4 linked regions of the Nothobranchius furzeri genome follow. The protein of the gene in region 3 purifies or fractionates together with the protein of the main gene of each other region. This does not show direct contact. Links are inferred from orthologs where the notes say so. Each region holds a gene or a part of one and is shown on either strand. Other genes may lie near its edges.

Evidence for each region. Proteins that work in one complex are often made in the same cells at the same time.
Region 1: the proteins of cAMP-dependent protein kinase type II-beta regulatory subunit (region 3) and prkacbb purify together in Homo sapiens (affinity purification with mass spectrometry; 7 studies listed by BioGRID and IntAct, counting the BioPlex papers as one, with this or other methods). This does not show direct contact. The link is inferred for Nothobranchius furzeri from reciprocal best matches to the Homo sapiens genes PRKAR2B and PRKACB.
Region 2: the proteins of cAMP-dependent protein kinase type II-beta regulatory subunit (region 3) and akap1b purify together in Homo sapiens (affinity purification with mass spectrometry; 3 studies listed by BioGRID and IntAct, counting the BioPlex papers as one, with this or other methods). This does not show direct contact. The link is inferred for Nothobranchius furzeri from reciprocal best matches to the Homo sapiens genes PRKAR2B and AKAP1.
Region 4: the proteins of cAMP-dependent protein kinase type II-beta regulatory subunit (region 3) and akap11 purify together in Homo sapiens (affinity purification with mass spectrometry; 3 studies listed by BioGRID and IntAct, counting the BioPlex papers as one, with this or other methods). This does not show direct contact. The link is inferred for Nothobranchius furzeri from reciprocal best matches to the Homo sapiens genes PRKAR2B and AKAP11.

Annotation. Positions count from the first base shown.
Region 1 is NC_091751.1:51,162,913-51,169,062, reverse strand, and holds the end of prkacbb (protein kinase, cAMP-dependent, catalytic, beta b), read right to left. Parts: intron 4,464-6,150; coding exon 4,341-4,463; intron 4,189-4,340; coding exon 4,024-4,188; intron 1,897-4,023; coding exon 1,771-1,896; 3' UTR 1,470-1,770; downstream 1-1,469. UniProt on the Homo sapiens protein: Mediates cAMP-dependent signaling triggered by receptor binding to GPCRs.
Region 2 is NC_091753.1:61,602,580-61,608,913, forward strand, and holds part of akap1b (A kinase (PRKA) anchor protein 1b), read left to right. Parts: intron 1-331; exon of another isoform or gene 332-444; intron 445-530; 5' UTR 531-555; coding exon 556-2,035; intron 2,036-2,457; coding exon 2,458-2,582; intron 2,583-2,765; coding exon 2,766-2,892; intron 2,893-2,972; coding exon 2,973-3,100; intron 3,101-3,189; coding exon 3,190-3,367; intron 3,368-3,441; coding exon 3,442-3,592; intron 3,593-3,747; coding exon 3,748-3,815; intron 3,816-4,497; coding exon 4,498-4,571; intron 4,572-4,661; coding exon 4,662-4,727; intron 4,728-6,334.
Region 3 is NC_091744.1:62,292,291-62,299,391, reverse strand, and holds the start of cAMP-dependent protein kinase type II-beta regulatory subunit, read right to left. Parts: upstream 4,658-7,101; 5' UTR 4,524-4,657; coding exon 4,253-4,523; intron 3,395-4,252; coding exon 3,359-3,394; intron 1,944-3,358; coding exon 1,891-1,943; intron 1,736-1,890; coding exon 1,652-1,735; intron 123-1,651; coding exon 16-122; intron 1-15. Other genes in the region: hsp90b1 (endoplasmin), read right to left, coding at 6,663-6,689, 6,771-6,869, 6,944-7,099. UniProt on the Homo sapiens protein: Regulatory subunit of the cAMP-dependent protein kinases involved in cAMP signaling in cells. Type II regulatory chains mediate membrane association by binding to anchoring proteins, including the MAP2 kinase.
Region 4 is NC_091754.1:39,490,147-39,495,914, reverse strand, and holds the end of akap11 (A-kinase anchor protein 11), read right to left. Parts: intron 4,552-5,768; coding exon 4,468-4,551; intron 4,129-4,467; coding exon 4,082-4,128; intron 3,976-4,081; coding exon 3,776-3,975; intron 1,841-3,775; coding exon 1,661-1,840; 3' UTR 1,470-1,660; downstream 1-1,469. UniProt on the Homo sapiens protein: Binds to type II regulatory subunits of protein kinase A and anchors/targets them.

The DNA.
Region 1 (6,150 bases), on a different chromosome or scaffold from region 3:
CAAATGATCTTAAGCAGTCCTAGTGAATTACAAAATAACCACAAAAATTAAAAATAGCAGAAATATTATTTTTTCTTAAAGAGCAAGTCACCTCCTAGCAGTCTTACTTCACTCCCACTTCTTGCTTAAAAAAAATGCAACAAATGCTGTTGCCTGGCAGACTGAGGGCGGAGCCCCTAACAAATACAGGCACACACAGGCGCACAACGGCATTGTGACATCATATGGTATCAGCTAACGTCATAGGGTACCGTTTAGCCAATAGTGATGGCAGATTTAAATTTGAATGCAGAAGAGGGCACAACACCAAGAGTTATAGGCAGAATATTAAATGTTTTTAATTTAAATTTAAATCGCCCTCTGCCTATTCTACACAGAGGCCATTAAGACGCATTGGCATGGCTGGCCAGGCTGTGACCCAGGTTTAATGACCAGAATCACAATGAACACATTGTCAAACTTCCACCCTTTTAAAAATAAAATTTATTAGCATCTCTAATGTGTATAAATAAAACCAAATATGTAACAAAGCATATATGTATAATGTCATGAGCGTAACAATAACAGGGTTGCATGTGATTCAAAGGAGCAGTCTTTAGTTTAGCCAGTGTTTTGTTGGAAAATTTTAAATCAAGCATCAATGCGTAAATCTAGAAGTTTCCAACATATTCTTTGATGGGGAGATGATGGGTAAATATGATTTTTTGCCTTCTAAGGATTTCACAATATCTTTCCTTTCATACATAAAAATATTTAAGAATTTATTTATTCTTTTGAGGTTTAACTGTTAATGTTAAAACTTAAAGCCTCAACCCTATTCACAACGGCCTTCTCACCTTTACAAAACTAAATAAAAATCCACAATGGACTTTGTCTTTTTCTCTTATAGTTGCATTAATCCAGAGAATAGTAAAAAAAAAAAAAGAGTTAAAGGATTCCCAAAATCTAGGGACAGTTGTTCTAACGTTAAAACACAATGTAAAAAAAAAATAAAATAAACATTAAGATAGCAAATGAGAAAACTTTACATGTATTAAACAGACCCAAAGTGGATCAACCAAGGACGTGGATATGCATTTAACTAATGCAAGGCTTGTCGACTTCTGCAATGGCTTGCTGTGTCTGGGTCAGAATTCCAAAAAGACAGTGAAAGGATGTTTTTGTTGGGGGGTCTAAGGACTCAGCTCTCCTAAGGCAGAAAGCAAAGAAAGGGAAGGACCTCTCTCCAGCTGCCCAGAATTTTTCGTTTGAACCCTCACTGTGATAAAATGTCTTAAAAAACTGACAGTTTTGCACACACACACAAAACAAAAACCCTACGTTTATGCTGGCTTAAACTAAACTCAACGTGGGTCTTTAAGTACACACACCACTTATGACAAATGGGAAAACACACAACCCACTCAACTGTGTGCCAAACAGCCAAAAGAAAAATCAGCTATAGTGGGTGGACTGTTATTGGCCAGAGGTTTTCCGCATACATACATAAAAAAAAAAAAATCACATTTTTGTTGGAAACAAAAACAAAGACTAACGGCATTCAAAAAAGTAAAATGAAGAAAAAGGTGATGTGTCTGCTTTAATACGCAGGTGATCACGACGGTGAGGAGTTTACCGTTCGACACTCGAGGATCACGGGGACCTCATTCAGCCTTGAGGAATGAAGGGACTACGTAGATCTGATAAAAGATGGTCTCTGCTCCATCCCAGGTCTTTTTGAAGAGTACAAACATCCCCTTATTTTCCCTGATATATCCATGTTCTTGTGTTTTAAAACTCGGCAAACTCTTTTGCGCATTTTTCCGTTAAAGAAACACGGATCTCCTCCTCTTCGTAGTCGTCGAAGTTGCTGGTGTCCCCGGGGCCTCTGCACTTTGGTATGAACGGAGCTTCAACCTGTAAGACAAAAGGGAAATCCAGTGTCATGGATTTCTATTGAAAGTTTAAAATATATTATTTGTGAATTTAAAAAGAAAAAAGTGAACCGTTTATCTTTTTTTTCAGATTTGTCAATCCAACATCATCAAATCAATATTTAATAAAGGTTTTTAATCTGTGGCGAGGAGACGGGCGTTTGGTGTTCATGTACAAACTAAAAACCCAAATGGTCAGCCCTCATCAGGTTAGCTTTATTGTTTCTGTAAAATTTGTAGCTGAAGAATGAATATCATGGTATTTTTTTTTTTTTTTTTTGGCTATTTCATTCATATAGATTTAGGGTTGTCACGGTAACCGGTATAGCGGTAAACCCCGGTAAAAAGGTTGACAATAAAAATAACCGTCCAGTTTTTAAAAAACTATATTATCTCGGTGGGTTTACCGTGGCCGCGGTTTCGGCGCGGTGACCCTTACCAGCCACCGTCGCTTCAGCTGAAGTTCCCGCAGCGCGCACACGCACTTTTTAGTTTGCAATGGCACCAAAACGTTGAAGCTGAAATAATGGCCGAAGGAGGAGACGGCAGCGCCCAGGACATCCATCAGCCCTCAAAGAAGACTAAATCGGAAGTATGGGCATATTTTGGATTTCTGAAAAATGCTGAGGGACAGTTAATAGAAGACTGCTATCCCGTTTGCAGAACGTGCAGGAAACAAGTGTCTGTAAAAGGCAGCAACACTTCGAATCTAATGGCACATCTGCGTGACCATCACCCACATCTCTACAGCCAGTGCAAGGTAAGTCAACATGAGCATTTTAGCTTAAATGCATGACGCGAGGACTTTTGGTTGAGGGAGAATGCAACGAGTCACTATATACTGCAGCCGCAGCGTCCTCTGCCAGCATTTAAACCGTGTCATGGACACCCTGTTGCTGGATGAAGCATCTTATTTGTTGATGATGAAGAGAAATATACAATTAGTTCCTTGTCATTGATTTGTTTACTTATTCAATGCCATTTATACTTGAACATTTGGATTTGATTACATAGTGTAGTAGTTATTTTAGTCATTTGTTTAAAGTGGCTATTTATTTTAAATACATATATTTTAAGGTTGACTTGTACAGCGCTCAAGTCAAGTGTGGACTGGAGTTTTAGATTTTCATTTTGATAATGAAGAAAACAAGTATATGAGAAAACAAGTGGTGTTTCTTTGATTTGTTTACATATTGTTTATGTTTTGAATGTTTGGATTTGTATAATTTAACCTGCACTGACTACTGTAACAAGTTCCAGAAAAATAAGCTATTTGTTCCTTTACTTGTGAAAAGTTGCACTTTTGCTAAGGCTTTGTGTTATTTTAGGTTTAATAAACACTGTTAAACCTTTTCAAAACTATTTCAGTTTGTGTAGAACAGGACTATCAATGCTTTCTGAACATATGCAACACCGTTTAAAAAATACCGCGATAATACCGAAAACCGTGATAATTTTGGTCACAATAACCGTGAGGTTAAATTTTCATACCGTGACAACCCTATATAGATTCTGTTTCTTTCTCTATTTTAATCAAATTCAAAATTACTTTATTGATCCCAGAGGGAAATTAAATGTTGGTGTAACTCGTGCATTAATACCAATGGAGTAGAGGAGCTGTTATTTTATAAAGAAAAATCTTAATCAGGAAGAAAAATTGACCACGAATGAAAAATAACCTTGATTTTTTGTTCCCAATTCACAAAATAAAGCCATTAATGTATTAATTGCACATTTAGCTAACATTTTTAATCTAAATGGCAAAGTCCAGATTTAGCCAATAGCGTTCGACATCTGCTTACATGAATATCGATCAGAGAGCGTACATGCATGTTTGCGGAAGTACTTGGACTGATGCAGTGTTGGCAACATTTTGTATGGACAAGTTAGTCTTTTAAAAATGAATAAGCAGCATGATGTAAAAATAATGTTTGTAAAACAATGTATTTTAGCTCTGTTGGCTGTCTAGAGGTGTACATTCACGAACGAGACGCGTAATCACGGAAGTAGGGAGAGGGGCTAAATGGGCGCAATGCATTATTCTGCCTCTAGAGGGTGTCCTTATAGAAAAAACTCCAGATTCGTGTTTTAAAAGTGTCTGGCGTCTTGCCTTTCGCTCGTAGATTGCGATCCAGTCTGTTGTAGCGAACCATTTGTGACCCTTGATGTCATTGACTCCGTTCTTTAGGTTGCCGTAACGTTTGGTCAAATCCACCTGGAGTAAGTTTCTCAACAGATCCTTCAAATCAGAGCTGAAGTGGGAGGGGAATCGTACCTAATAAAAAACATTTATGGAAACTTGAGATTAGTAATTAATCTGTGTGCGCGCGCGCGCTCACGCACGCACACACACACACACACACACACATTGGAAATAACAGAAAGAAAAGACCATGGAAAACATCTAAGAAAATAAATCTCGCTTACCTTTCCAGACACAATCTTTTCATAGATCTGAATCGGCTGATCTGCAAAAAACGGAGGGTAACCAGCTGCCATCTCATAGATGAGGACTCCGAGGGCCCACCAGTCCACTGCTTTGTTGTAACCCTAAAACATGTAAAGCAATAACTCAACACTTCCCCTGCTCATTATTATAAAATATGATACTTCCTCACTGAGGACCCATCAAACTCTAGAAAATTCTTTCAAATGATTCCTACATCTTTGATAAAAAATAAATACATTAAAAAAGCTAAAATAATCTGTTTTAATTATTAAACAATATATTTTATATCCCTACAGTAGTTTTTTTACAGCCCACTTACATCATCAGCTCACATGATCTGGACTTCTGAACTTTACTTTCCTCCAAGCCAATGATGAAGCTAACCTTCAGCAGTGTTTTGCACAAACTGCAGCTTCCCCCAAAACCTCCCCTGCTGCAGCCCCCACAAAAATCAGAGTTTGTTCCAGATATTTACATGAGGTGAGGTAGCAGATGTGTTTCACTTTGATAAGAGCTGCAGAGACGACAGAGCAGCTCAGCTGCTGAGGACCTGACTTGTGAGGGGGTCATTCAGATATGTCTCAGTTACTTTTGATGTAAATATGAATTTAAGTATTATTTCATTATTATTTTAAAATGAAATCTAGGTAGTTAACTGGAGCCAAACACAATCACCATCAACAATACAGTACTGAAAGAGGTATGTGTAGCTACAGGCAGATATTTAAATTCAGATATTGAAATCAAAACACAAAAAGGTAGATCAGTGCAGCATCACAACTATCAATATTTTAAAAATCTTAAGTTCAAAGACCAGAAAATTGTCTCGAAAGTGATCATTAGTGACTCTTTTGGCTTTTAAGTTTAGGGGATAACAGTGCTGGGTTGTGGGAAAAACACAGCATTCACAAATTTTCCATTTGTGCTTCAATGGGACACCAAAGATCAGACACAGATGTTTGGTGATGCTGAATGGGTTTGACTTTCAGAAAAAAACTTAAAAATGTTTTTATTTCTGAGAAAATTGTCTTTTCAATACAAAATGACCCCAAACTAGAATGGAGTGAAAAATAATAAGGTCAAATAAATTTGAAGGTCTTCAAAAGGATAATGTTACAAGTGAAAACAGATATAATCTTACAAACTCTACAGTTTTGGGGCCGTGAGACTAAATTTAGAGGCCGACCGATATGTTTTTTTTTAAGGCAGATGCCGATACCAATTTTTAAAGACTTTTGTTGCCGATGGCTGATATCTAAAGCCGACTATTAGGGTGATATATATACGTTTTAGCAGCACATTGATGGTGAAAGTCAACTGAACACTCATTGTGTGCAATATAATTTAAATAAGTCAATAAGTCTCTTAATATTCATTCAACTTCAAATATACAACAAACTCAAAACATAAAAATAAACCAGTGTGTTGTGGTTCTTCGAGTCTTTTCTTCAGTCTAGTAGTGGCGGCAGTTGGCCACACAGGTGCCTGATTTTTTATTTATTTATTTTTAATCGGCTTTTATAAATAATTTCGGACAATATAGAAAAAATTTAATATGTCGGCCCGTTGTAACGGTCGGCCTCTAACGCAACATCTCATCTGTTATTTTTTATAATGAAACAAAACGATCCAATAAGAGCGCTGACTCTAGAAAATAACTGAATTAAACCTCTTTCAGAGGGGATTTAGTAAAAGTTCTGTCTGTTGTCACTTAGCTCAAAATGTATTAGGTAAAAAAAGATTCCCCAAAATAAAATTTAATTAAAATAAAAGGTGGAGTTCAGGAAT
Region 2 (6,334 bases), on a different chromosome or scaffold from region 3:
GCCACAGTCGGGTGAGAACCACCCAGGGTCATGCAGACGTCCAAGACCAGCGTGCGTCACTTTCACTTGGGTTCAGGGTGTAATGGTGTGTGTTAGGGCTGTGCACGTTCCTAGCCAAGTTCACAATCCAGCAGACACGTGTTGCATGTTTTCTAACACCTTAGAGTGAACGCTGCTGTCCCAGGTGAGTGGTGTGGGATACTCCAAACAAGAAGTACTTTAGTTTCTGAAGCTAAAGTTTAGTCAAAGTTGGTCAGGAAGACAGTTAAAGTCGATTTTATCCTGAAATAACTGATGTAAAAATCAGCTAATGTCACTTCTCTACGAGCAGCAGTCAGACCGACGATGTGGGCTAGTCTGTCAGATGTCTGAGCATTAAGACTCTGCTACGGAGCTCCAGCGAGTCCCTCGGGTCGCCGGGGAGACCTGTTTGCTGACCTGGCTGTAGGTTTGCCACCTAGGTGGTTTCTGTTACCAGAAAGTCTTTGTGACGCCTTTCTCTGCTCATCTGTCCCTGTTTTTAATTTCAGGTGTGCCCCCTGATCTCTTGAGAACATGCTGCTGAGGTTCCGCTCCGTGGTTCCCTACACGCTGCCCGGTGTACTCGCACTCATCGGCTGGTGGTGGTACGCCTCGCGTAAGAAAGAGCGTCTAATCAGCGATGAAAGTTCAGAGGGGCCCCCGAGCGCGGACACATCTCACCTGGAGGGTAGAAACGGCGTGGATGAAAACGGGACTGCCACACCTCCACGTGAAGTGGACTTCTACGGACCTCCGAGTCTAAACCACCAGAGAACACCACATGAAATACTTTCTCCCATCCACACCCAGGATGTTGAAGCAGCACATTCCCTGGTTCAAAGTTCTGATGATCCTGACCCACTGAGTGGCAGACTAATAGCAGAGGACATCTTTACACCCACAGGTCCCACTTCGCCATCACATGAGGAAGATGTGACAGGAAGTTCGTTGAAACCCCCTGGAAGGGACTTCTTAATAGTTTCAGACGGGGAGTTTCATTCAGAGGTGGCTCCGGGGGCCTCGAGCGAGGACGCCATCACGTCTCACCGTGCTACCAAAGTCACCCGTTCGTCCTCTGTGACACGCCTCTCTGGTGCAGAAAGACCAGAGCCAGAGGGTGAAGTTGCTATGCATCAGAGCTCTGTTAACACTCAAGATGAGATTGTTTGTGCACTTACCCTAGCCAAAACACCAAGGGTCCTCCCATCAGAGGCAGACTCTCTGGAGACGTGTCTGTCAGCGGATGTACACAAACTGATACTAACCAGTACACCCACTTCTCTCACCTTCACAGTCCAGGATCCCACCAGCATGCTGGTGACCTCAGAGGACATCCGTATCAAGAGCAGCACTCAAGAAGAGCCGAATCTGGAGCTCCTGGCAGCTGGACTCATCACTGAGGTCATCTCAGCAGCCACCCAGGAAGTGCTCGGTGTCACCAAGGTGTCACCCGGTGGCAGCTCACCCGCGGTCAGAGGACAGCTTTGCTCTCTAGAGGAGCCGGTCGCAGGAACACAGCAGCACGGTTGTCACCCGAGAAGCCTTGTGCAGGGAGGCCCTGAGTGCCGAGAGGCAGCAGATGTCCAGGGAGTGCCAAATGGTGGCTCCATGACTCCAGCACGGGCAGCTGCTGAGGCCAGCAACGGGGTTTGTAAAACAAATGTCTCGTGGCCGCCGCCGCCGCCGCATCAGGCCTCTCCAGGTCTAAACGTGAAACGTAGAGGCGACGAGGGGACCGTCCTGACCGAAGACTCTGCCTGCAGCACCTGCCACTCTGAGGACGGCGTTAGCCTGGAGGAGCTGCAGAGCGGCGTGTTGGAAAACCAAACGGACGTCCTTCAAGTTACAGACTTGTCGTTGGAAGCCGTGCAGCCGCTGTCGTTGGTGGAGGCCGGCCCAGCAGCCCCAGAGGAGAGCTCTGTGGATGCTGCAGGTGTCCTAAAGAGACTTAACGGGATTGGCTCAAGAAACGGGGCTCATGGGACATGTGAGGTGGACACCGATCAGTCTGGAGGTGAGGCTCGTCCTATGCTAACGGTGAGGGTGTGTGTCCTAGCAGCCTGCTTTAATGTGCTAAAGACGTGGGTCTGCTCTGGAAGTGATCGTACTGAATGTGTTAATCGGGCGACTATGGGCCCAGGTTCTGATCTAGAAGCTTCTGATCTTGTCTGACCCATAACTTCAGAGGGTTTTGCAGCCGGTTTCCTTTTCCGTCTCATCGGGCTTTAGCTGGGGCTTCATAACCCGACGCCCCTCAGGCGGTGGCGGACGTGGTTGTGAAACCTTCTCTTTGCTGGAGGTGACTAGTAGCTGGAGAAAGGGTCGAGGTGGACTGAAGCAGCTGTTGGACACACGGGGCTTCAGAAACGTTACCATGTCATAACAAAGTGTAGATTGTTACTGGTGAAGGTAAAATATTGGATGTGATGTGTCCAGGTTCTGATGTGAACAGTATGGACTCGGTGGACAGCGGCTGCACTATGGGAGCCTGTGAGGGCCAGGGCAACAACGCTGCCTCATCAAACTCTGAACTCGTTATCTGGGAGATTGAGGTGCCAAAGGTGAGTGACCCCGCCCCCGCGTGTCTGTAACGGAGACGCCGCCGGCAGAGAAACCAAACCTGCTTCTGCTGCTCTACGTTTTCTTTGTGGATGTCAGAGGAGTAAAACTGGTGTCGCTGGATTTTCCTCTCATGGTCCAAAGTGGTTGAGGACGGTTCTCATGAGCATTTCTTGCCGTGTCAGCATCTTGTAGGGCGGCTGATCGGGAAGCAGGGGAGATACGTGAGCTTCCTGAAGCAGAACTCTGGAGCAAAGATCTACATCTCCACTCTGCCTTACACACAGGAGTTCCAGATCTGCCACATAGAGGGTGAGTCTGCTGCAAGGCGCCCGTTTGTAGGAAAGGTTCCTCTCGGAGGTGGTTTCTAACGCTGCCTGATCTGTCGCCAGGTGTGCAGCAGCAGGTTGATAAAGCTCTGGCACTGATTGGCAAGAAGTTTAAGGACCTGGACCTGACCAATCTGTACGCACCCCCACCACCCTCACTCTCTCTGCCTTCACTTCCCATGACCTCCTGGGTGAGAAGGAGCTTCTCCGCTACACAGCTGAGTCCTCGTGCTGAGCGCAGGCTTCTGACGCTTTGCTGTTTGACCTCCATGTTTTTCAGCTCCTGCTTCCCAGTGGAGTGACCGTCGAGGTGGTTGTGGTGAACATCGTGTCAGCTGGTCACGTCTTCGTCCAGCAACACACCCACCCCACCTACCACGCCCTAAGAAGTCTGGATCAGCAGATGTTCCTGTGTTACTCCCAGCCGGGTACCCCCGCCCTGCCCTCGCCTGCTGAAGGTAGAACTTTTCTTTGGAACGTCTTCTCTACGGTGGTGAGATCTGTGTCGGAAGTTCTCCTCCTTCTCTTCCAGTTGGTGTTATCTGCGCAGCTCCAGCAGTGGACGGAGCCTGGTGGAGAGCTCAGGTCATCACCTTCTATAAAGACAGCGATGAGGTGGAGATCAGATATGTTGATTACGGAGGCTACGACCGAGTAAAGACCGACTCGCTCCGACAGATCAGGCAAGCGCCCTCCAGCTGACCTGTGGGCGTCTAGCCTTTGGGCTCCTGGTGCTGCAGCTTCATCTGATAACTCTGCACATTCACTTGTTGTGCTTCTAGCCTACTTGTCATCTGTTTCATACACATCAGCAAATAACACGATGCTTTCTCTGCAGGTCAGATTTTGTAACTCTGCCATTTCAAGGTGCAGAAGTTCTGCTCGACAACATCGTCCCTCTTCCAGGTACAGCTTTGTTTTGTTACGTGCTGAGTTTAGAGAGATCTTCTGGCTGTCAGAGTCGGAGACATTTATTTTATTGTTTGTTAAATCAAAGGGCCCCGCCCACTCATTCGCCCTTCCCAGGCAAGGTCAGCAGCACGCCATCACCGCCGTAAACACCATAAACTTCCTCAGATATCGGATTTGCACCAGAATCACCTTGAAACTTGTCCCAGGCCCGGCTTTGTTCCACTGCGACCCCTAACCTGTCAGCAGCCTCAGTCGGCCCTCTGGCCATAAAGACAGCTTGTCAGCATCCCTCACCTCTGGCGTCCGCCAGCAGGTTTGAGGGTTGGTACCGCCCACCCTGACCACACACACTCTTAAAGAAACGTCTGCTGATCTTTGGAGGCGTTGTGCTGGAGTTTCAGCTCCGTACGGGAAACGCTGTCAAACAAACTCACAACATAAAGGAGCTGTTCGGGTCCTTTCTGTAGTCTAGTAGTGGCAGTAGTTGGTCACAGAGGTGCCTGATTTTTTTTTATATATATATTTTTCGCAGCTTTTAGAAATACTTTCGGCTGATGGCCGATACAGAAAGTTTGAACATATCGGTCGGCCTCTAGCGCCGTGTTTAAGAGCAGATCTTTGGTTTTGAGTTCACCTCCGGTGCTGGTTTCATACACACTGATGTGTCATTCATCAGGAGAGGATCGTTTCTCAGCAGAAGCCACGTCGACGCTGGAGGAAATGACCAGAGGCGTGGCTTTACTTGCACAGGTGAGGCTACCTTCAACCCTGCAGCTCTCTCTTCAGAGAACCACCACCAGCTAAAGTCTAATGTCTGTTTCCTCCCTGCTTCCTATAAAGGTCTCAAACTACGACAACAACACGGGCCTACCACTGGTTCATCTGTGGAACATGGTGGGAGATGAGGTATGACGTTTGCATTTACTCTCTGTGTGTGGACTGTAAGAGAGCTGTGCAGGCGAGGGGATCAAGTTCCTCTGGATGTCGTAAAAAGGTTTTCGTTCGTGGTCATGCATACTCTAAAAACCCGTCTGATCACTAAGAACACATGTTAAAATACTTTTCTCTCCCTTGTCTCTACGAGCTCTAAGAACCATATGGGTCTCATTTATGAAGCCGTGTAGAGTCCTCACTAAAAATCTACTTAAGCTCGACACAAAAGCTTATTTATACAAACAAATGTTCTGATTCATAAAACTCTGCTTACGCACAGCTGCACACAATTCCTGCTTTATAAATCACACCTGTCCTAGAAGTGTGCTCAGGTGATTTTTGATCACACCCCACCCTCCGCACACCCACTTATGAGTGTTCTGCATACGAGTAAGCCAGGTAAGTGGCAGCTTTCACAGGTAATCACGGTGACTGCAAGGCCTAAAAACACCATTTCACAGAGACTGACGTTGATGTGCTTGTGGGTGAGCTAGAGGCTTGAGAGTGGTGGAGAGTTTAATGGTGAACGTCAAAAAGAAAACGTAAAAAAGGGTTCGAATGGAGGCAAAGAGGAAGGTGGCAATGTTCATTTCAGTGACGTATGGCATCTTGTACTTGGAGGTGTTAATACGGTGGTTCCCTAAGTGGTGGGGGTACAAATTCAGGAGGAGGAGGGGGGATGAAGTGTTTCTGGCTTCACTTGCACAGTCCTTGGCAACATGCCACCTGTGTGAGGTTGGTGTTTCTACTCTGGCATCAATCCTAACCAAATAAAGATTAACATGCCAGTCTATAAACCACGATCCAGATTCTTGGTAAAATGGAAAAACGCAACATTTAAACCTCGGGTCAACTTGTGAGTTACTAAATAAAATACCATAGAATTAGAAAAGCAGTGTTTTCAAGCAAAATCCCATAATACACAATTTTTAATGAGATTTGATGTTTGAAAATGCATCAAGCTTTTGCTGTATTAACTCATTAACTGCCATTGACGACTGAAGTCATCATGTGCCTTTTTATTTATTTATTTATTTATTTTACTGTGTGGGCGTCAGAACGAGCCCCCGCACAGTGAGATCTAACATCCCAGCTCCAAAGCTGATCTCCATCTGCATACGTCACACGTCACGTGATCAGGAAGCAGAAAATCCACGTGTTAGGTAGGAGATAGTTTTGGGCCGCTGCTGTAAAAAAAAAAGTGAGGTGCAAACCGGAAAAGCTTCTGCCGATCACAATTTGACAACGTATTATAAAATAACAGATAACGCTCAAAACGCGCGGGTTCGTCCTGATCTAAGAGGTGAGTCTACTCTTGTTTTGGTAGTGTTGGCGTTGACATCGTCATACCGTGCAACGTTCTGCGACTCTTCAATATCAGGGTATCCGCGGGTCCTTAAAAAGTCTTAAAAAGTCTTAAATTTGCTTTTCTAAATTTAAGGCCTTGAAAATCCTTAAAAATGACAAATAATCCTTAAATCCAGTTTCCAAAGGTCTTAAATTACAAAGACCCAATGAACAAGAATTTCTAGTTAGTCTTCAGCATTTTTTGTGTATGATGTTGGCGTAAGCGGAACCGT
Region 3 (7,101 bases):
TGTCACAGTAAGCACCTTTCTATTACATAGAAGTTATCCCCATCATCATCTTGATCAATGATGTGTTCTCCTTCTGTGCAGAACTTTTCAAACATGGCATCCAGAACCTGGGACATCTGCTCCTGAAAGCAGAGAGAAACACACGTTGTCTATTTAATCCTTAATGTTCAATACACTTAGTTCTAAGATCTCCATCTCTTTCACAGGATTAGTAAATTCCTCAAAATAAAACTGTGGCATCCAGTGCGGTATGTGACTTCTGCCCCCATTAAAGAACCGTGTAACATGTGGCAAATGTCAATTTTCTTATTATATAATTACATAATAAAATCACGTTAAAGCTGTTATAGCGAATCTGAACAAGCTAGGTTTTGAATGCAAACACGTCATCTAACACTCACCCCTCCCCTCGAGTATCTTCCCTGGATCACCGCCCACCCGAACCAGAAACCCGCATTTGCTATGGAAACGGGATAGAGCTAAACACCAGTTGCTGTTTTCTAGGTCCAAACATCTTTTGTTGTCCGTGACTTCAAACAGTGTATGTCTTTTTGGGACTAAGTTGAAGTGGTAGCAGCCGGCTGTTTCTCCTGCTCTGATATCCTTTATGCTGTTTCTTTTTGGAAATTGGATTATCTATTTTTATTTGTTCTTCTAATTGCTGAAGGTTACAACAATAGCCTACTGCCTTTGTGTATTTACCTGCATTGTTTATTTTCTATTCTCCTGCGCTGCCTTATAGAGTCACTGTGGGATTTATAAATTCTATTCTTGTTCTTGTTCTATTCTATTCTATGCTATTCTATTCTATTCTTGTTCTTGTTCTATTCTATCTATTTTAGGCAAATGCGAGAGAACCATTTTACTAATCTTTTTCTTTTTATCTCCACAATATATTTATAGCTATACTATGTTATAACGATTTACCGGTCGGTCTACGTTCCTACCCTCATCTATGATCATGAGCTTTGGGTAGTGACCGAAAGAGTGAGATCGCGGATACAAGCGGCCAAAAAGAGTTTTCTCCACAGGATGGCTGGGCTCTCTCTTAGAGATAGAGAAAGAAGCTTGGTCATCTGGGAGGGGCTCGGAGTAGACCCACTGCTCCTCCACATCAAGAGGAGCCAGTTGAGGTGGCTCGGGCATCTGGTCAGGATGCCTCCATGGTGAGGTTTTCTGGACACGTCCAACCAGGAGGAGGCTTAAATGGAGATCCAGGACACGTTGGAGGGAGTTTGTCTCTCACCTGGCCTTGGGATTCCCTCGGAAGAGCTAGCCCAAGTGGTTGGGGAGAGAGAATTCCTCTCGACTTAGGCTACTGCCCCCTCGACCCGACTCCGGATAAGCGGAAGAAGAAGGATGGATGGATGGATGGATGGATATGTTAGAACATTGTTAAGAGTCATGAACAATTTTTACGTCAAATAGTTTATCTAATTTTCGATTACAGTTTTAACATTTTCAAATTGACAATTCAGTGAAACATCCAACTATTGTCTCCTGTCCTGCTTTTATGGGTTGAAAGTGTTTGGAAATTGTTTTCCCAAATCAAACATCTTTCTCTAAGCATGCAACAAAAACCTGCAGCCTCAGGCCATCCATGGTTCCATGGTTTTATGATGGCTTTAAGTGAAACAAATAATTTGCTCACTGGATCCAGGTTCTTGAACAGAAGAATGTCCTTGCATGCTTCCTGTAGTCTATATCTCTGCTCATCGGTTTTGGGGTAAGTGACCTGCAACACAAAGCAAAAATAAGCCAATTTAAGAGTGTCATTGTAAAACATGAACCTTAACCAGTATGAAACATGGTGCATGCGAGAAAGCTAACAAATAACATACATGCTACTAACGAGAAAGAGATGGACCCAAACTTCTATCTACAGCTTACCCGTGGTTCCTTATCTTCATCATCTTCATCTGGATTGAAGGCCTCAGCACAAACTGTGTTAGAGAAAGATCAACGGAGGTAAGTAAACTACATTTATACCAGTTGTGATAACTGATGCCATTGCTTCTCTCTTTAGGATACCCTGTCCAATGGATTCATTCAGCTCCATCATCACTGAGAACGCTTCAGGAGAACATTCTTTATTTTCCATTTCACTTCTTTATGTAAAAATGAATCCTCCTGTATAAGCAAATATAAAGGAAGTCGTCCTTCTTGTGTGTGTAATGACACATGTTGTATACATGTTGCATGGCTCCTTCTTTACTATTTTCATTGTTAACCTGCTGACTTAGTTTTATCTTTAGATTTTGCTCAAAATATTTTTTGATTTCAGTGTTTTCTGCAGAGCACTACTTATGGCTGTTGTTGTAACAAAACAGTTTTCTTCTGCAAATACATTAGAATGCATTCTTTGGATGAATTAATGTATTATTTTGTGACTAAACACTGATAGCCTCATTGTGCTTCATCCAAATCAGAGGTGAAATTGTTCATCTTTTGGCTAAACCTGTGGCAGCAGTAGCTCAACAGGTAGAGCGGGTTGTCCAGTAATCGTAAGGTTGCAGGTTCGATCCTGGCTCCGGACAGAGAATTCTGCTGTTGTGTCCTTGGGCAAGACACTTAACCCACCTTGCCTGCTGGTGGTGGTCGGAGGGACTGCCGGTGCCTGTGCTCGGCAGCCTCGCCTCTGTCAGTGCGCCCCAGGGCAGCTGTGGCTACATCGTAGCTCATCACCATCAGTGTGTGAATGAGTGTGTGAATGGATGAATGATACACTGTAGTGTAAAGTGCTTTGGAGTCCTTACTCTGAGAGGCGCTATAAAAGTGTGGGTCATTTATCATTTAAACCTCAGAAGAGATAAACGTTTTGGATGGAAGACCTTAAAGATACAGAATTTCACATTCAATTTATATAATAAAATGTAAGTACAAGTGACATGATTTTAAGCATTTTAGACTCCTAAAAGGAAATGTTCCTGCATGTGTGTAAATGAGCATGAGGATCAGTCAGGGGCAACATTAATCATACCCTTAGATTTTAAACCCTAGTTAGATATATTTATGTTCAAATAGATACTAAATGTTTTGCAGAATATTCCTCACACTTTTTATATTGGAAAAACTGCAGCCATCCGTTCCAGTGCAGAGCTACAACTTTACCACTATTCTTAGCCAGAGATAATTAAGGACCACTTCTTGCCCTGATTTCTGCACCCACGTCACTCACTGATATTATAAACCAAGTTCACCACGAAGTGGCTTCACACACTGTTATAAATCAATCCTATTATTATAAGGGAAGGGACAGTTACAACAGACAGATGGAAAATTTCCCCCCGACATTCAGATGAGATGATACTGTCCAGACTTTTCCCTTTAATACGTCAGGCATCCCAACGTAACTCACCTGATGCTCTTCTGATGAATCTGTTTATCACCGGAGCTGTAAAACATAAAAGCCAGGTGTTAAACTTGCTCTTGTTGGAAATGGTTTAGGTTGCTGCAGTTCTGGAGCATTGCTCTTGGGGATCCATATTCATTGGGGGTAAAACCTGAATGAGAACATCTGCTTTGAAGTGGGTTTAGGGTCTTTGAATAATGCCACAAAAGGTCAGAATGAAAAATGCATTAGGAGGTCATTCACAGACATCCTGCAGGCGGTGCTGACTCAATGAAAGTGCCCCCCCCCCCCCCCCCCCCCCCAAAAAAAGACTATTAAACTAATGAATGTGGTGCACCTGCATTTATGTAACCAGATGGTCCCCAGACCCCACTACTCCCATTGATGATAGGTCAGAGCTCTGCTGTCTAGCAACCCTGCACTGATTACTCTTATAAGCTACAATTTAGTGCATACCAGATCATTTGACCATATCCATGCCATGTTTGAAAGCATTGAATATATAATTTGTCTTATTTTCTATTAGCTAAGGAGGGTAAATAGGCCCATCTGGGCCTGCATCTGAGACTGCAAATATTCAACCCCATCCACTCCTACTCTGAGTGCTTTTTAGCACACTGTGGTGCCGGCGTTGAGATGGCAGCTGTTTGGTATTTAAGGATCATTTTCTCGCACAGACACATTGTGACCATCGCTCATCCTCTGTGACCGTATATGGCAACTGACAGCGCGGCGGTGGTGGATGCAAGGTGGCGGAGCGCCGGTGCATCAGTCATTATCCCCCACCGCTGCGACGCGTGCCCATGCTTCAAATAACATTAAGGTCATCCGCATTCACGTGCGTTTCTCACAGTCGTGTTTAGATAAAAGACAAAGGAAAGCAGCAACCGTTCAGACCACCTGTGAATTCCTCGTCGTCATCGTCGTCGTCGTCGTCCTCTCCGTTCTCGGAATCGATCTGCATGGCCTCGTCAATAAAATTGACCGCTTTTCCTGATCTCGGGGCCGAATTTTGCTCATTGCCAAATGAGGCCTCTTTGGTCTCGCTGTCCTTCAGCTGGGTGAAGTACTGCAACGCAAACTCGAGCAAGTCCCTGGGCTGATTCCTCAACACTTCCACGGTAAAGCTTTGTAACAGCTCCGTCAGTCCTTCAGGAATTTCTATACTCATTCCTGTTTTCAGTCTATGAATGTGGACAAAACCGATCTGCTGCAAGTCCAAGATGAAGGGGAGAAGAAGAAGGGATGCACGCGCAGCTGAGATTAGGAATAAGCGGGTGTGCCACGAGCTGTCCACAGCGGATCCTCTCTTTTTCCTGAATGAAAATGGCTCTGGATTTTGGTCCAAGCATCATCTTCTGCTGCTGCTGCTTCTGGCTATAGGAAACCCACGCATGTGACCCAGGAATCCATGGCAACCACCTATCCAGGGATTGCGTAGATGAGCGGCAGCGGCGCAGAAACTGCAGTCTGTCACAAAATACAAATTATGGGAAGGAGAATCGCCGTGGTGGCTCTTTCCCACAATCTGAGCTGTAAAGGATTTATTTCGTCTTCTGTGCAGCAATTTTGTCAATCAGGTTTTATTCTGAGATGAGATAAAATAAAAGTAAATTTGCAAACAGGAAAATGTGTGAAGTTATTTAATCAGATAAATATTAAAACAGTTTATCGGCAAGATTATATTTTTGCACCATTTAAACTAAAGTAGGCTAAAAGGGAAGCTGAAGTTTATTGTAAAAAGAATGGCTCCCATAGCTGATCCATCTCTTATGGACCTGCTTTTCATTTTTCTCTGAGGCAAAAAGTGAATACGCCTGATGCACAACAAGACATTTTAAAACATTTTTGCAGATCTAAGTTTGGTAATAATCATGGAGCAAATGTCTAGCTCCCTCTCTAAAACATTACTCAAAGCTTGCTACCCAAATTCCAGTTCTGACACAAGACGAAATATAATCTACTCATTTGTTTGAAATGCATTTGTTTTGCAAAAACAGACACGTTCTTGCATTTATTTCTTTTCAAGTTCACTAAAAATATAAATTAATCAGGGATTTCGACTAAAATGTTTAGATTTTTTTGCAAAGACTTTTTATGCATATGGACATTTATTTCCTTGTGTGGGTGATAAGTTAATTGTGTAAGTAGGCTTATCGATTAGAAAACCATTTTGCAGTTTGGAGAGAAAATTTAACGGACTGAGCAGTCTGCTGAGTGGCCTGGAGGTGACGCATGTCGTCAAATATCAGTTCTCCTAAAAGTAGAATGTCTAAAATATGTCAGAATTGCAGCAAAGTCTAAAAACAATCATCCAGTCAGTGGAAGTTGATCTTTATAAAATTTAGAAAGTTTTGAAGTAAAATTTCTATTCATAAATGTAAATTTCCATTTTTAGTTTTGAACATAGTAAGCTCCAGTGGCCTACAAGTCAATCATTTAAAAGTGAGCAATACCGCCATCTGGTGGACGTTTTAGACTTGCCATCCAGAGGTTCAATAAGATGCAGCTTTTCTAATTACAGTAACAATGAAAACGCATCTAATCCACATTAAAAGGCATGTCATCTATTAAGGTATTACTGTACCTTGTGACAAATCTTCTGTAAACTGCCAAGAAGTTAACTTTTATTTGGAGAGAAATGTCAGTTTTCTTAACTGAATTTTAAAGTTTTGCCACTAATTACATTTTAAAGGTTTGAGATCCATATTTGATCCACATGCTGCATTTAAGTCATTGCTCTTTCGTAATTTTAATATTTTGTTCAGTGAACTTGCAGGGCCTCAAATTATCTTCTGTGTTGCCACTGAAAGCATCTTGAAAATTTTCTTGAGGTCAACTAGTCTTTTATTTGAAGCCTTTTATCAGATCACAGCAGCCAGCAGATACAGGAAACAGTCCAACACTGCAGGTAGTTTCCCTTCTGCTTCTAGCTTGCATGTAGTTCCACTTCTGTGCGACTCCCTAAAGATTATTTGAGATGTTGCACCCAAGGGCCAGGTGGATGTTTGGTCATGAAAATCTCAAATCTGGTACGGAAATCATGTTTCTCTGCACAGATGACACTTTTGGTAACATTTATTAGATCAATAGACAGGATTGCATCTTCATAAACAGGTCAGTTAAATATTAACAAATTTACAGTCATGGGGAATGTAAAAAAAAAAAAAAAAAAAACTGCACAAACAATGCTCGCCTTAAAAAACCCTAACCCAAGGACCCACCCAGGACAGCGTCAACCACAGATGGACTGGAGTTGAGTCTGATTCCAGCTTCGTTGTTGTTGGGGTACGTTCTCCCATTCAGTGCTTCACAGCTCATCTTTATCAGTCTTTATCTGTAAACAAAATACAAGTTAGAACCTGCCACACCCAGTACAGTTCTTTACCGTTTCAACGCATTTTAAAAGTCATCTCACCGTTTCATCATCTTCATCATCATCATCAATAACTTCCTCTTTATCTTCAGAGTCATCCTCTGCCGGTTCCTCTGGCTCTTCCTCAGGTTCTTCTTCAACCTGAAACAGCAGCAGACTTAAAGAACCGACTCACCGAGCCAATGCAAAGAAACCAACTTCACATTACCGCCTACCTGTTCATCCAGGGGTACATTCATGCTGAGCCGGAGCATCCGCTCTATTCTGTCTCCGTAGGCTTTTGTGTCGACGAGCTGGTAGCCTGAACGCAGCGTGGCCGTCTCAAACAGAACCACTGCCAGATCTGATGCAGTCTGGTCCTCAGCATCCGCCT
Region 4 (5,768 bases), on a different chromosome or scaffold from region 3:
GCACACACAGTGACACACTACGGGGGGGGGGGGGGGGGGGGGGGGGGTCTGAGTAATACAAATTCAATACATTCCTTTGATGTAAACACATTTCTGTTAATACTGATCAGGCTCGGTGTCCCAGATGGTTCCTGGAGATCAAACAAATATCCCACAGTGGGCGCTGAGGGGGCGTGTTCACCCGATCACCGGTCAGTAGCTTGGAACAGATCCATGAGTCATGTAGCTAGCTCTGGCTAGGTGAAAGCTGCTTACCTCAAGCATTCAGAACATCTACCAGGTTCTGACCTGTTGGCGGTTGGAGCCGCAGCTAGAGCGAAGAACAAGGTGCTGCCACGCGGTTAGGTCACATGTTTGATTTGGCAGCCATGTGTTGGTTGTAATTTCAGCTTCCTCCACTAGGAGGACAGAAGCAGCTGAGTCACAGTAAAGTCACGGAAGCTCATCACAGGGTGGATCCACAATAACAGAACTTCCTACTGCTCGTGCTCAACATCACCTTAATGCTTCCCTGTCTGTTGGTTCAGAAGGTCTGCATGGTCCTGACCTTTGGCCCCACTCTGAACAGGAAATCCCTGTCTGCAGCTGTTTACATAAAACACTGGTTCTGTCTGCATCGGGTGCTCCACTCCAGCAGGAGCGTGTGTGTGAAAACACACTGGAGGTGGCTCTTATCCAGTGTAAGGTATGTGAACACATGGAACAGATGTGGGCAGTGCCACGTTCCAAACTGAACACACTCTGGGGAAAGAGACTTGCCTCCAATCAGACCGTACTTCCTGATCCACCATCAGCGAGTTATGGCATCTCCTCCGTTCCAAACATCTGGAAGGCACTGAGACATGCTGTAGCACTTCGCTAGCTCGAGGGTAACCCTGCTCAGGTGGGGTTGGACCGAGCGCCCTCTTACAGTCAACGCTAAAGGAAGTCCTACACGGCTTGAAGCTTCTCCCTAAAGGTTCTGTCAGTGATTTAGGTAGAACGTCTGATCCATCCTGTCACAGGGCCATCTGTATTCATCTGGTCCTGTTTTACTCCTGGTTCCACTCTTCTGTTCTGTTACCTCAGTCTTAATCATGTTTTCTCTGTTTCAGGTGTGTGTGTGTGTGTGTGTACTTGTAGTGGCTATGAGGAGATACAGCGTCACACACATTTGTCCTTTGTTTAATGACCATCCAGTCTTCAGACCTGGGCATAAGTGGGTTGTTGTCTCTTTCCGTCACTCACTCACACTCACACACACACACACACACACACACACACACACACACACACACACACACACACACACACACACACACACGCGGGGGGGGGGGGGTCTTTGACATACTGTATTTTTACCTGGAATACGACAAATTTTAGTTTCTCAGCAGCGTTTATGTCTTGGTTTTCAAACGTGATCAATTGAGAGAACTGAAATAAAAGGTGAGAGGAGTGTGTGATGACATCAGCTGATTACTGGACAGGTAAACAGTCCACTGGTCTGGCGACATGCAGGGGTGGGGCTGCCAATTCTCACTAAGCAGTTCTAATTTATAATAATAATTTAACAGAAAGGTAGGGGTCACACACACACACACACACACACACACACACACTACAGCAGACGTATGTGCTGGCATGGCGCCCTCTGGTGACTGGACCCAGGCCAGGAGGGGTTTCAGGTGCGGTCCAGAAGCCACTGGAACAGTGGGGTGCAGCACGGTTCTGGACTGGCCTGCAGGGTCTGGTCTGTGGCTGCGGGGGGGCTCTGGACCTCCTCGCAGTAGCGCACCAGCTGATGCAGCAGGTCTCCAACTCTCCACCTTCTCTCTCTGAGCCTCTGGACCACAGCTGGCAACTGGAACAGAATCAGAATGGTTTCAGTGTGCTGGTGTGTGTGTGGTGGTGGGGGGGGGGGGGGGGGGCTGTCATTCACATACCACACTGTTGCCACAGCTGCCCTGGGGAACACTAACAGAGAAACCCCGCCCCCGGGTGTGCAGGCGGGGTGGTTTGAATTGCTGAACTGTTGCTGTGGAGGCTGAACACTCTCCAGCGTGTTCACACATGGAGTCTGCGGGTTTCCCCAGAACAAGAACAGAGCCACCATCTTGCTGCCCGGGGTTTGGTGCTGCTTCAGGTACAAAAGGCAGCATGATCTTCAGCCCGGAGGATTACAATCCCAGCGATGTGATGGAGTTCAACACGGGATACTGAAGCAAACATCAGTATGCCATGTTGAGTATTACACCTGACCACAGGTGGCAGCAGCTTCTGGGCCTGCAGCAGGCACGAGCCACCATCACGGCTCCACCAGAGGCTCCGCTCCACCAGGGGCTCCGCTCCACACAGACGGGACTTCTAACATCTGCTGACTACAGCTTTATATGAAAAGTGGGTTACTAGAGAAGCTAGCTAAAGTTAGCTACTGTTAGCTGCCTTAGCAACGCTTCTGCAAGGGTTAGGCCATGCTGCTAGTGAAGCTGGAGACGTCCGAGTCATCTGGGTGAGGTAGTAAGCTATAGCTCTGTTATTAATATCCATGACATGATGTAAGGGTGGACCTCTTCATCATAGCTGTCCAGATGCAGCCCAAGGTGCTCAGAACCCAAACTCCACCGCCCCGTGTTGACTCGGGATCATCAGATCTAACAGACTTGTTGACCAGGTCAGTTCCTTTATCAGACACAAACAACAAGTTGTGTAACATAAGTTCAGACATCACGCACATCCCAACTGCTGTTTCCCTCGTGTGACCCATATATGACGTTTTAAATGTGATCCGGGTCACTTGGACATGCGGTACTGATTCCAACACATATCTGATGGTTTTGACAGCGACTGCAGTCTGAACGGTCATGTCCATCATGTCTCCTACATCACTGAGTCCGAGGAGGAGAGAGTTCCGGAGGAGGAGCGCTGACAGAAGGGTCTGGACGTCCTGTTTTAGGGTTAGGAATGAGAAATATAAGAGAGCATGCTGGAGGTGCTGCTGGAGCGAAGCGTCTCACCGGTCTCTATGTGTGTGTGTGGGGGGGGTGGGGGTGGGGGGTCTCCATGGTGAATAATACTCCAGGAAGACGAGGAGTAACATAGTTTACGGTCTTTAAAACAGTTTCCAGCCCAAACCTGAGGACTTAACAGGTGTGATCCTGATCCTGTGGACAAGCTGTGAGTGAAAACTTTCAGGTTCCGACTCCACTGAGCGTGACTTGTCTTCTGTTGGTGCTAAGGGCAGAGAAAAGGCTTCCTCTGCACCCCCCACCCCATCTGCAGCAAGATGATGTAGGTCTTGGTGCTGGTCTGTGGGTTGGCTTGGACTCTGTCCTCACCATTCTTCACTTCTGTTTACCTGAAATGGTTTTTGGTCTGCCACTTCGAGCCTTAACTGGAGGAATAACACAACTGCCCAAACGGTTGTTACCATGGTAACAGCAGCCTCGCTGGAAGGGATGTAAACACCCTAAAACCACTGCTGATCTCAGTATTTATCTACATGGGTCACATTTCAATGAAAGTCACAAAGCGGGAAACCACCCCGTCTCCTCCTGGCTCTCTGATTGGCTGAGAGTATGGGATGCATGGGACTGGCAACTCTGCTATGGTCAGGTTTGCCCAATATGTCCTCCTTCAGACTAACTGTTTCAGTGGCTGAAACAAGCTGCTTGCTACGATCCCAGTCACCCATGCCAGGACCAGCACCAAAACCTGCTGCTGCTTCAGCTGCTGCACTGCCAGAATGTACCCCACCTTACACGTAACCAAGCTCTGGACATCAGACCTATTGACTCACCTGCTGGAGTCCTCGCTCTGCACTGAGCTGGACCTGAGGGACATCTGCCATGGACGCTGCAGCCCACTGCAGCATGCTCCTCAGCTGGGGGTCAAGGGTGACGTGTTGAGGACTACGCCCTAGATCCTTCACGTCCAGGTTTCTCATCAGCAGTGTGGTCCTGGGCTTCTGCAGTTGAGTCCAGTCCACACAGAGTATCCCTGCAGGTTAGAGACATGGTTTTAGCTCGGTCACACTCACCAGCCTGAGATCTTACCAGTCCTGATCCGAGTCCACACATCTGGTGTAACAACAAAACATGCTTACCGCTGGACTCCTCCTGGACCTCTGCCTCCTTGTCCTCCATGTAGTCACTGTTGAAAACATCATGAAGGACCAATCAGGACACAGGAGGACAGGAGAGGACAAGCCAACAGCTAAGACACTGTTAAGTACAGATCTTGGTGTCACAGTCATGGACCTCACAGTTCTGGTGTACACACACCTAGAGCAGCATTACGGTGTTGATAGACACAGCGTACCATACCACTGGTTTATAGAGCGCTTTAACGCGGCGTTACGACCAACTTCCTGCTAGGGGGATCAGACCAGGCGACCAGCAGCAACACAACATGAACACCAGAACACGTGCAGCTCTTTGCACCTAGATCTGGACACAACCACCTCCCCCATGTGCAGCGGAGAAGACCAACCTGTCAGAAGGTGAGAATGACCAACACTCCTCCACTGCTTCCCCATCAAGGCCAAGACTGCTCCAGCTGCTGCTGTTCCCATTGCTGTTGAGGAGAGAAGGTGGATTATGCACCTGGAACAGGCCACGCCCCCCTCCAGCAGAACTACACACAACATAAGCATGCTAGTATAATAGCTGGTGTATGTGTGTGTGTGTGTATGCGTGCGTGTGTGTGTGATCACACTGGGGTTTCAGAGGGAGCTGCCACACCAGTATGTCGTCCAGGTGTGCAGGTGTCCCGCTCCGCAGCCAGAGGCACCCGTTTGTTTTTAGTAACGCTCGGGACAATAACCGCACACGTGAGTGTGGCTTGAAGACTCCTGGGGACAATTATCACCAGTAATGACTTTTATAAAAGTATTTGTCCGTTTAGCGGTGCATTACAGTATGCACCATAGTTTAATGGCAGCTGTGGTTAAAACTGTGGACTGAACCAGCAGATTACAGGATAACAGGGCGGGTTCCTAATCTGTGCACCATGGTGGAACGCGTGAGCTTTTTCAGGAAAACACTCATAAAATAATACCTAGCTTACTGTGTTAGTTAGCTCTGCATTCCCTCAACAGAGCCAAGCTGTCCATGACACCACATTAACAACAAAACAGCTGGGGTGTCACAGTAGGAGCGCTCGGCACCATGTTTCAGGGAGATAATGGAACTAAAACCCTACAAAACTGTATAAAAACAAACTACAAATGACCAGTTTGATCACGATCACAGTAAACCAGCTCTAGCACTAGTGTTGACCACTCATCACGTTGATTACTGGTTGGATGGAACAGAGTTCCTAGCATGCAACTTGCTTTTTAAATGTTGAAAATGCAGCGAACAACATTCAGTATGATGTTTGATCACAATTCAATTATTAAATGAATGGACATGTGTTGGAGAGCAGGTGAGTATAGCTTTGAAGTTGGCAGTGAGCCAGAAACACCATGACAGAAGCAGGTACGTGGGTTTACGAGCGCTTCGTCCCACTCCATATCTGTAAACGGTGTTGACATTCACTCATGCATAAGTTCCCACAACAAGCTTTTCATCATGCTGAGAGCTACATCGTCAAACATAAATATCTGTGGGCACATGTCCCTGGCTAAATGTCCACAGCGTGCTGTCCGGGTGTCCTGGTCCATTTTAATGAGCAGCGGGTTGAAAGTGGGACGAGCTGAAATGGTGTGGGATGGAGACTCCTTTCATTGTTCCGATGGGAACTCTTCTTGATGTCTCCAGACATCATCCCTAGTCAGGGTTTCCAGTCAT